2 linked regions of the Rattus norvegicus genome follow. The protein of the gene in region 1 purifies or fractionates together with the protein of each later gene. This does not show direct contact. Links are inferred from orthologs where the notes say so. Each region holds a gene or a part of one and is shown in the gene's direction. Other genes may lie near its edges.

Evidence for each region.
Region 2: the proteins of Eya4 (region 1) and Dctpp1 purify together in Homo sapiens (affinity purification with mass spectrometry; 3 studies listed by BioGRID and IntAct, with this or other methods). This does not show direct contact. The link is inferred for Rattus norvegicus from reciprocal best matches to the Homo sapiens genes EYA4 and DCTPP1.

What each region holds. Positions count from the first base shown.
Region 1 is NC_086019.1:24,218,398-24,221,960, forward strand, and holds part of Eya4 (eyes absent homolog 4), read left to right. Parts: intron 1-3,278; coding exon 3,279-3,337; intron 3,338-3,443; coding exon 3,444-3,563. UniProt on the Homo sapiens protein: Tyrosine phosphatase that specifically dephosphorylates 'Tyr-142' of histone H2AX (H2AXY142ph). 'Tyr-142' phosphorylation of histone H2AX plays a central role in DNA repair and acts as a mark that distinguishes between apoptotic and repair responses to genotoxic stress.
Region 2 is NC_086019.1:191,308,495-191,312,831, reverse strand, and holds the start of Dctpp1 (dCTP pyrophosphatase 1), read left to right. Parts: upstream 1-1,505; 5' UTR 1,506-1,558; coding exon 1,559-1,659; intron 1,660-2,545; coding exon 2,546-2,656; intron 2,657-4,337. UniProt on the Homo sapiens protein: Hydrolyzes deoxynucleoside triphosphates (dNTPs) to the corresponding nucleoside monophosphates. Has a strong preference for dCTP and its analogs including 5-iodo-dCTP and 5-methyl-dCTP for which it may even have a higher efficiency.

The sequences.
Region 1 (3,563 bases):
AGGCAAGAGAAGAGTGCTGTGGCTTCTACCTGGAATAGATCAGGGACAACCTTGTGGTTACCTCATAAGACAAATTTAAAGCATTTATGATTAACACCAGAATTATTTTAAGATTTTGAGGTCTTTGCTAAGCTGTGTTCAAAAACCAAAGCTCTTGAATAATTTGGGAGTATTTTAGCTTTAGGTTAAAATGACTCCTGCCTGGTTTCCACAATGAAAGCTAGTTGATGAAAAATTATTTATCTTTCCCTAAAAAAAAAATCTAAGTAATTGAAGTTCAACTTTCTTTCAGTGAACTGTAATCCTTGGGCAACTGTCCAGAGTCAACACGCAGAGTTGCTAAGCATAAATATAAAAAGAAGTTAGATTTGGAAGACCCTCAAACCTAACTTCAAATACAGAGTACATGGTCCAATAAGTTTGATATACTGTTGTCCTCTGGAGTAAAAAATGAATTTTGGGGCAAGTCATATATAAATTAATCATGTGAGTTAATACTTGAAATGTCATGGGGAGCTTTTTGTAAAAAAATTACAATAAGGAAATATTTAAGAAATAGCTTCTGGTGGTTAGAAGAACTCAAAAATTCTCCCTCGCCATTGCCATTTTGGAGTTTTTTGTAAGAATATTGTGTTAAGGGACAGATGGAAGCTATTTACATGAGGAAAGCTTTTGGAAGTTCAGGAGAGTGATGATCTGCAGGTATTTATTTCTATCTAAATGCCTCCCAAGAATATCACCATGTCTGAGCTAGAAAAGTTTCTATGAGGCTAAAAGCACTGGCTGTTCTTCCAGAGGACCTAGGTCCAAATCCTAGTACCCATACGGCTGCTCACAACGGTCTGTAAGTCCAGTCCCATGGGAAACAGCCGTCTTCTGGATTCGGTGGGACCAGATACACACATGGTACACAAATATGTGATGGCAAAACATCTGTACACATTAACATTTATTTAAAGAATGCTACCATGTCTAAAGAGCGGATACTTAGGTCATGTAGAGTACCTTAAGTGTCTCCATATTCTGGGGATAGTAGGGCTTCCTGCTTAAATGCTAACTGCTTAGTCAGTGTAAAGGCCAAGGCAGCAGCTTGATAAACTTGCACATGAGAGGGTTTTGGAGGTGCAATGCCTCCTTTTGCTGCAGAGAAGCCTGCATCCCTCTCAACTGTGAGATACCAAGGTAGCTCAGGCAGCCTCATCTCCTGTCCCTCCTCTTCTCTCTGTACTGAGAGCAGCCATACTTTCCCACAAGCCTCGCCATCTAGGGTATTAATTTATGTCACTATAACTTTGTGTTAGAAATTTGAAGTGATGGAGAAACTCTGCCAATTACTATCATTACCTAGACTCCTACAATGTGATTAAGAAGCAATTCTGTGGCTTTTAGTTAGAGGTTTCTTATTGGTGCATACTCATTGAATGTGATAACAAACTGCATGAGGATATTCTTTTTCCTTCCTTCCTTCTTTCCTTCCTTCCTTTCTTCTTCCTTCCTTCCATCCTCCTACTTCTTTCTTTCTTTCTTTCTTTCATCTTCATTTTTACAGAGTTTCTCTGTGTACCCCTGGCCGTCCTGGAACTTTGTCTGTAGACCAGGCTGGCAAATCTCAATGAATCACCTGCCTCTGCCTCCCAAGTCCTGGGATTGAAGGTGTGTGCCCACCACTGCCCGACTATACAGTGCCCAGAGAAGGCAGAAAAGGGCATGCTCAGCCTCATCAGGAGTGCTGGGATCTAAACCTGGGTCCTCCAGAAGCGTAGCAAATGCTGTGAAAAGCCGAGCCACCCCTCCATCCCAAGTACATTTTGAAATCACATATGAACACTTTCCTGACTACGCTCACCACTTAGTTTCTGTTTTATTATTTCTTTGGTTCATATTTGTTTATTTACTTGAGGAAGGACACAGTCCACATCACGGGCCTGTGGAGGTGAGAGGACAGGCCACAGGAGTCCTTTCTCTCCATCCACCATGTGGGCTCCTGGCTTCAAGGTCAGGTCCTCAGGCTCAGCTGCTCTCTCCCTGCTGCTGAGGCATCCCCTCGCCCTCCAATTCTGAATCCATTGAAATAGGATCGACATGTTCTAGACTAGGCTGAAGGCTCGACATTTGGTGCTTGATTACAGTCCCTTCCAGGTCTATTATAACAAATTTGAAGTGGAGACTCTTTCTTAATATGGCATAGTTCCATACCTACTAATTTTAAATTGATCTTTGAATGATAAGTGCTATTTATAGCATCAAGATCTGGAGGTATACAAGTGAGATAATCCAAAGAAGAAACTGGAAAATGTTAACTCAGCAGTAAAACACTTGCAGAAACGTGCAGACCTGGCTTCAATCCCCTGCAAGTCAAAATCTCTCTCTCTCTCTCTCTCTCTCTCTCTCTCTCTCTCTCTCTCTCTCTCTCTCTCTCTCTCTCTCTCTCTCATTGATTTATTGTGACTTATAATCATGTGTAACCTGTGAACTTAATCCTCTGGGATCTAGTCATCCTTAAATCTCATCAGCAAATTTTGTCTTAAATCATGTAACATTTCACGGGAACCCTGCAGATCATTTAAACGCAGAACAAGCTTTTTGGAACCTCTAAGGGCCCGATTTCTATGTGGAAGCCACTATTTGCTTTAAGCAAATTCGAACTTGAAATCAGATCCACTATGGACAATCTTAACAAATTTATTTTCCTTGGAGGTTGTATTGCTTTTGGTATGTAAATCTTCACGACTTTACTTGTATTTGTTGACATTTTCAAAACTCTAAAGCCCGACGAAAGAAGGTGTCAGCCTCTATGGCCGCTAGCTTTGTTCTGTATCAGAAAACCAGGACTTTAAGTAAAATGACACTTTCATACTAGCAAGGAGCAGGAAGTCTTGGAAAGCTCAGAAGACACCATGTTCTGAGGTCAAGACCCCTTCACTTCCACCAAGCAAATAATAAATAACAGTGACCACTTGAGATGCTCGGACCCCAGGCACATTGCGGATTTCCAGATTAGCAAGGGCACTGATCTCAAAGATTCGCGGGTTCTTCTTAGCAATGATATTAAGATTAAACTTATTTTTCAAAGCACCCCGAGTTTCCAGACTGCTTTGTGGATTTAGATCTCAGAGAAGTGGTACCATTTCCCTTTTATGCGTAAGAAAACAGGCGTCAGAGGGAGGGCAGAATGGACCCATGCTGCCACCTCGTGGCCGTAGCCTGCCGCTGTGGGATGATGGGAAACCTGAAGGTGGTAGCCAAGTTTGGTAATGTCTGCTGTTGCCTTTTCCCAGGAGTGTGATCAAGTTCATATAGATGATGTTTCCTCCGATGACAATGGTCAGGACTTAAGGTAAGCCGCGCTTTCAGTCTTCCGTTTCCTACAGAAATTCAGCTGTGGAGTTTTGTACATGTAATTATTTCTTCTGTTTCTTTTTAATGTATTCTGGGTGTTGCAGTACCTACAGTTTTGCAACTGATGGCTTCCATGCAACTGCAAGTAGTGCGAACCTTTGTTTGCCAACAGGTGTGAGAGGAGGGGTGGACTGGATGAGGAAGCTGGCTTTTCGTTACAGAAG
Region 2 (4,337 bases), about 170 Mb from region 1:
TCTAGCTTCAGGAGATTCCTTTGCCAACAACTGCACTCATGTGCACACACCCAATGCACATACCCACACATGCATACACATAATCTTTTTGTAGATCTTGAGGAAGAAAAATTTTACCTGTCTGGAAATATGGCTCCAAAGATAAGACCACCTGCTCTTGTAGAGGACCACAGTTTTTTGGTTTTTTTTTTTTTTTTTGGTTTTTTTTTTGTTGTTGTTGTTGTTTTTGGTTCTTTTTTTTCGGAGCTGGGGACCGAACCCAGGGCCTTGCGCTTCCTAGGCAAGCGCTCTACCACTGAGCTAAATCCCCAACCCCAGGACCACAGTTTTATTCCCAGTTCCCACTGGCATTTCACAGTGTCTGTAACTTCAGTTCCAGGATCTAACATCTTCTTCTGGATGCCCTGGGTACCAGGCACACAAGTGGTACAAAGACATACTTGGAAACACACACACACACACACACACACACACACACACACACACACACACACACAGAGCAGGGGGGTAAGGGAGGGAGAAAGAGACAGAGAGAAGGGGGAGTGAGAGAGAGAGAGAATAAAAAACAAGTCTTTTAAAAAGTCTTTAAAATTCGGTCCCCAGCTCCAAAAATAGAACCAAAAAAAAAAAAAAAAAATCTTTAAAAGGGGCTGGAGAGATGGCTCAGTGGTTAAGAGCACCGACTGCTCTTCCTAGAGGTCCTGAGTTCAATTCCCAGCAACCACATGGTGGCTCACAACCATCTGTAATGGGATCCTGTGCCTTCTTCTGGTGTGTCTAAAGACAGCTACAGGGTACTCAAACAAAATAAAACAAATCTTTTAAAAAATGCTTCAAAAACTAGCCTATGTAAACGAGTTTGGTGTCCTCTTGTGCATTGTGTAAGGCTGTTATAGTCACCCATGGGGCAGCGGCCATACCCTATCTACCTGCCACCAATTGCGGTGTCATGTATTCTATGCTGTAGGTAAAGAGGAGGAATGTCTTCCTCTCCCTGTAGGACAAGGATGGATCAATTGCTTCCAATCATTGGAATCCACTGGGGTAGGACGCTGAAATGGGTTACAAAGCCTGGATTCTCCTCCTCTCTAGAAGCCTGCACTTTTTCTCATCAACCTTTTTCAAATTGTGTGAAGACTGGAACCTTAAACAGCGTAACTAAGTGACCACGCACAAACTGTAGGGTTTTTGCTCTGAGTGGACCCGCCTCCTCCGCGTCTGCTATTTCACTTTGGCGCCATCTGGCGCCCATTAAGCAAACAACGTCACATTAGGCTTCTGTTCTGTCTCTTTCCCAGATTGATTTCGTACCTTTCCCTTTAAGAGTTTCGCCTGGGCGAAAGAACTCGAGGGCACCGAAAATACACTTGAAACTCCCTTCAGATTGGTCTAGGCCGGAGAAGAGGCGGTGCGTAGCAAAAATCCGTCTATATGATTGGGTCCCCCTCCGGCTCCGCCCCGGGGACGCAACAGAGAAACCGTGATTGGTCGGAACCCTAGAGGCGGCTCTGAACGTGGCGCGGAGTTTGCTCCCGCGCGGCTGGGACTGGTGGGCGGAATGTCCCAAGCTGGTACCGGTGTGTGCGGTAATGGGGGGCAAGAAGACTCTGCTGCTGCCGGCCCGTTCAGCTTCAGCCCAGAGCCCACGCTTGAGGACATGTAAGCAGTCCTTGTCCAGCCTCGGTTGGAGATACTGACCTTTTTGTTGTAGTGGGGAGGGTCCCTCCACGTGGTCCACAAGAAGAACAACATACCCATGTCCACCCAGGCCCTCCTGGCAGTTCTTTGGAGAGCCCAGCCAAACCTTATGTGTACAGTGCGCACTTGAAGCCAGGGAAATTGGGTGACGCCCCTGGGCATGTTAGTACCAATTTTTAGTACAACCTTGGAGAGGTTACAGAGGTCGGATAGTACCTCTGCACCCTAGGAGTGATGGGCAGTTGAACAGGGGAAGCTGAAGCATAGAAATGTTTTATTTTTTTTTTTTCCTTGCAGAATGTCAAGGAAGGCCTCAGTGGGCAATGTCTCAAAATTACATCCTGTGATTTAGTTAGACCTAGGTGTGCGGGAATAGGGGCGTTAAGGTTGAGTACCAGAAGAACTAGCAGTAAAAAAAAAAATGGAATAATAAAGGGTGTTGTTGCTAAATTTGACTTGAGGGTAAAATCTGTACAGGGGCACGTTTATTTCCTGACAATAAGAAAGTCTTATTAAAAGGTAGAAACTTGGGGCTGGAGAGATGGCTCAGTGGTTAAGAGCACTGGTTGCTCTTCCAGAGGTCCTGAGTTCATTTCCCAGCACCCACATGGTGGCTCACAACCATCTGCAATGGGATCCGATGTCCTCTCCTGGTGTGTCTGAAGACAGCTACAGTGCACTCACATAAAATACATAAATCTTTAAAAAAAAAAAAAAGGTAGTAACTTAAGGACATCCAAGAAATCGACTGTTAAAATTCCTAGGCCTGTGTCCTTATAGGTGTATGCTGGGTACCTGCATCTTGTCCTCTAACCCTGAGACTTGAACCTCCACTCCTTTATTTCAGCCGACGCCTCCATGCAGAGTTTGCTGCTGAGCGGGACTGGGAACAGTTCCACCAGCCTCGGAACCTGCTCCTAGCCTTGGTGGGAGAAGTGGGCGAGCTGGCAGAACTCTTGTGAGTAGATGGGAGGCTTCCTGGAAGAGGCTGTTTTGGGGGTGGAGAGAGAATGTATTTGAGCCTCAAAAACTGGGGTTTGTTTTATTTTCCTTACAGCTGTATTCTGTGCTGCTGCTGAAGTCACAAGGGCCACAGTCCCTGTAGGGTGCCAGGAAGTTTCCAGGGAGAGAATGAAAGTGTAGAACAGTGAGGTAGACTGAGGTCTAAGAACAGTCAGCAGGGCTGTAGTGGTGCAGCATGAGTCAGGCAGGCAGTGGATATGTAAGTTTGAGGCCAGCCTGCTCTACAGCGGATTTCAAGATGCTGGGGCTATGCAGAGAAACCCTGTCTCAAAGGAAAAAGAGTGAGTGTGTGTGTGTTGGGGGTGGCAGACAGTTGTCACAAGCATTTTACCTCTGTGTAGAGCTGAAATAAGGAATTTTAAAAGGTAGCCTGCCAGACAGGGAACTTCCTTTGCAGAGGCAGTGGGGCTGCTGAGATTTCTCAGGGCTTAAGAGCACTTCCTGCCCTTGCAGAAGTGCGAGTTCAGTTCCCAGCACCCCTGTGCCAGGTTACAACCTCCTATAACTCCAGTTTCACGGGATCCCACACTCTCTTCTGGCCGTGGAGGCTCTGCATATACATAGTGCCCATACAAACAGGCACTTACATCTATCTGCAGAATAAATAAATCTGTCCTTTAAAAAGTAGTAGTGAGATGAGAAAGGGCAAGTTAGATTCTGGGAGAATCTAATTCAAAATTAGCTTTCCCAAGAAAAGGGGGGGTTTTGTATCTGTTTTTGTTCTCTTTGTGGCCCAAGTATCTAGCCCACTGTAGGCCTTACATAGAAGTGGGAACTGTGGAAGATAGGGTGTGAGGCAAGCCCAGGCGGATAAGATTGGAGTTAGAAGGTGTTGGAGTTCAGGCAGAAGGCCTGGTCTAACCTCAGTAGCAGAAAGATTTCTGTGCCTGCAGGGCAGATTGGACACCTGAAAATTGGATTAGAGCAGGCTAGTGAGCAGGCTGGTGTGGACCTAACTCTGGGCAGCCATTGTGGGATGAAGTCTAGAGGGCATATAAAATGCACTTGAGGGTGGGCCATTCCTTTTGTACAGATGAGTTAGCATCAGTTGTGAGCTAGGTTATCTATAACAAAGGCTGGGAGGCCGTGGACCACACAGCCTCCACTCCTGGTAGAAGAAGAGTAAGAACACAGTTTTAAGTGATCTGGAACTCTGACAAGGGCTAAGGGAAAATCAAGTCAGATGTGGTGGTGTGTGATGTAACCCCAGGGCTTGAGAGGCAGAGGCTGAGGGCTGGGGAGGTAGGTGGTCGTCCTCGGCCACAGGGAGACTGAAACCTGAGGTACACAGGAGTCAGTCTCGGGAAGGGGATAATTACATAAGCAGATGAGAGAGAAAGGGTTTCTGAGATGATAAGCTCTGAATTGAGACCGAAGTATCAAGAAAGGGAAATCTAGGAGGATGGGGGGTGGTGTTCATAGTAGAAGGAACAGTGACCACAAACAGAAGAGGTAATGGTGGCTTTGGGTGGGAGAGCAAGTGGGTAGAGAGGAGTTAACAGGAAGGTGAATTCCTGCACTGACTCAGGTCCGGGGTTTAGTATGGAGTGACAGCAGCTAGCACTAGTGAAAAGTAGAACTGAACCTCGGAGTGTCTCAGCAAGTGTTCTCTTGGT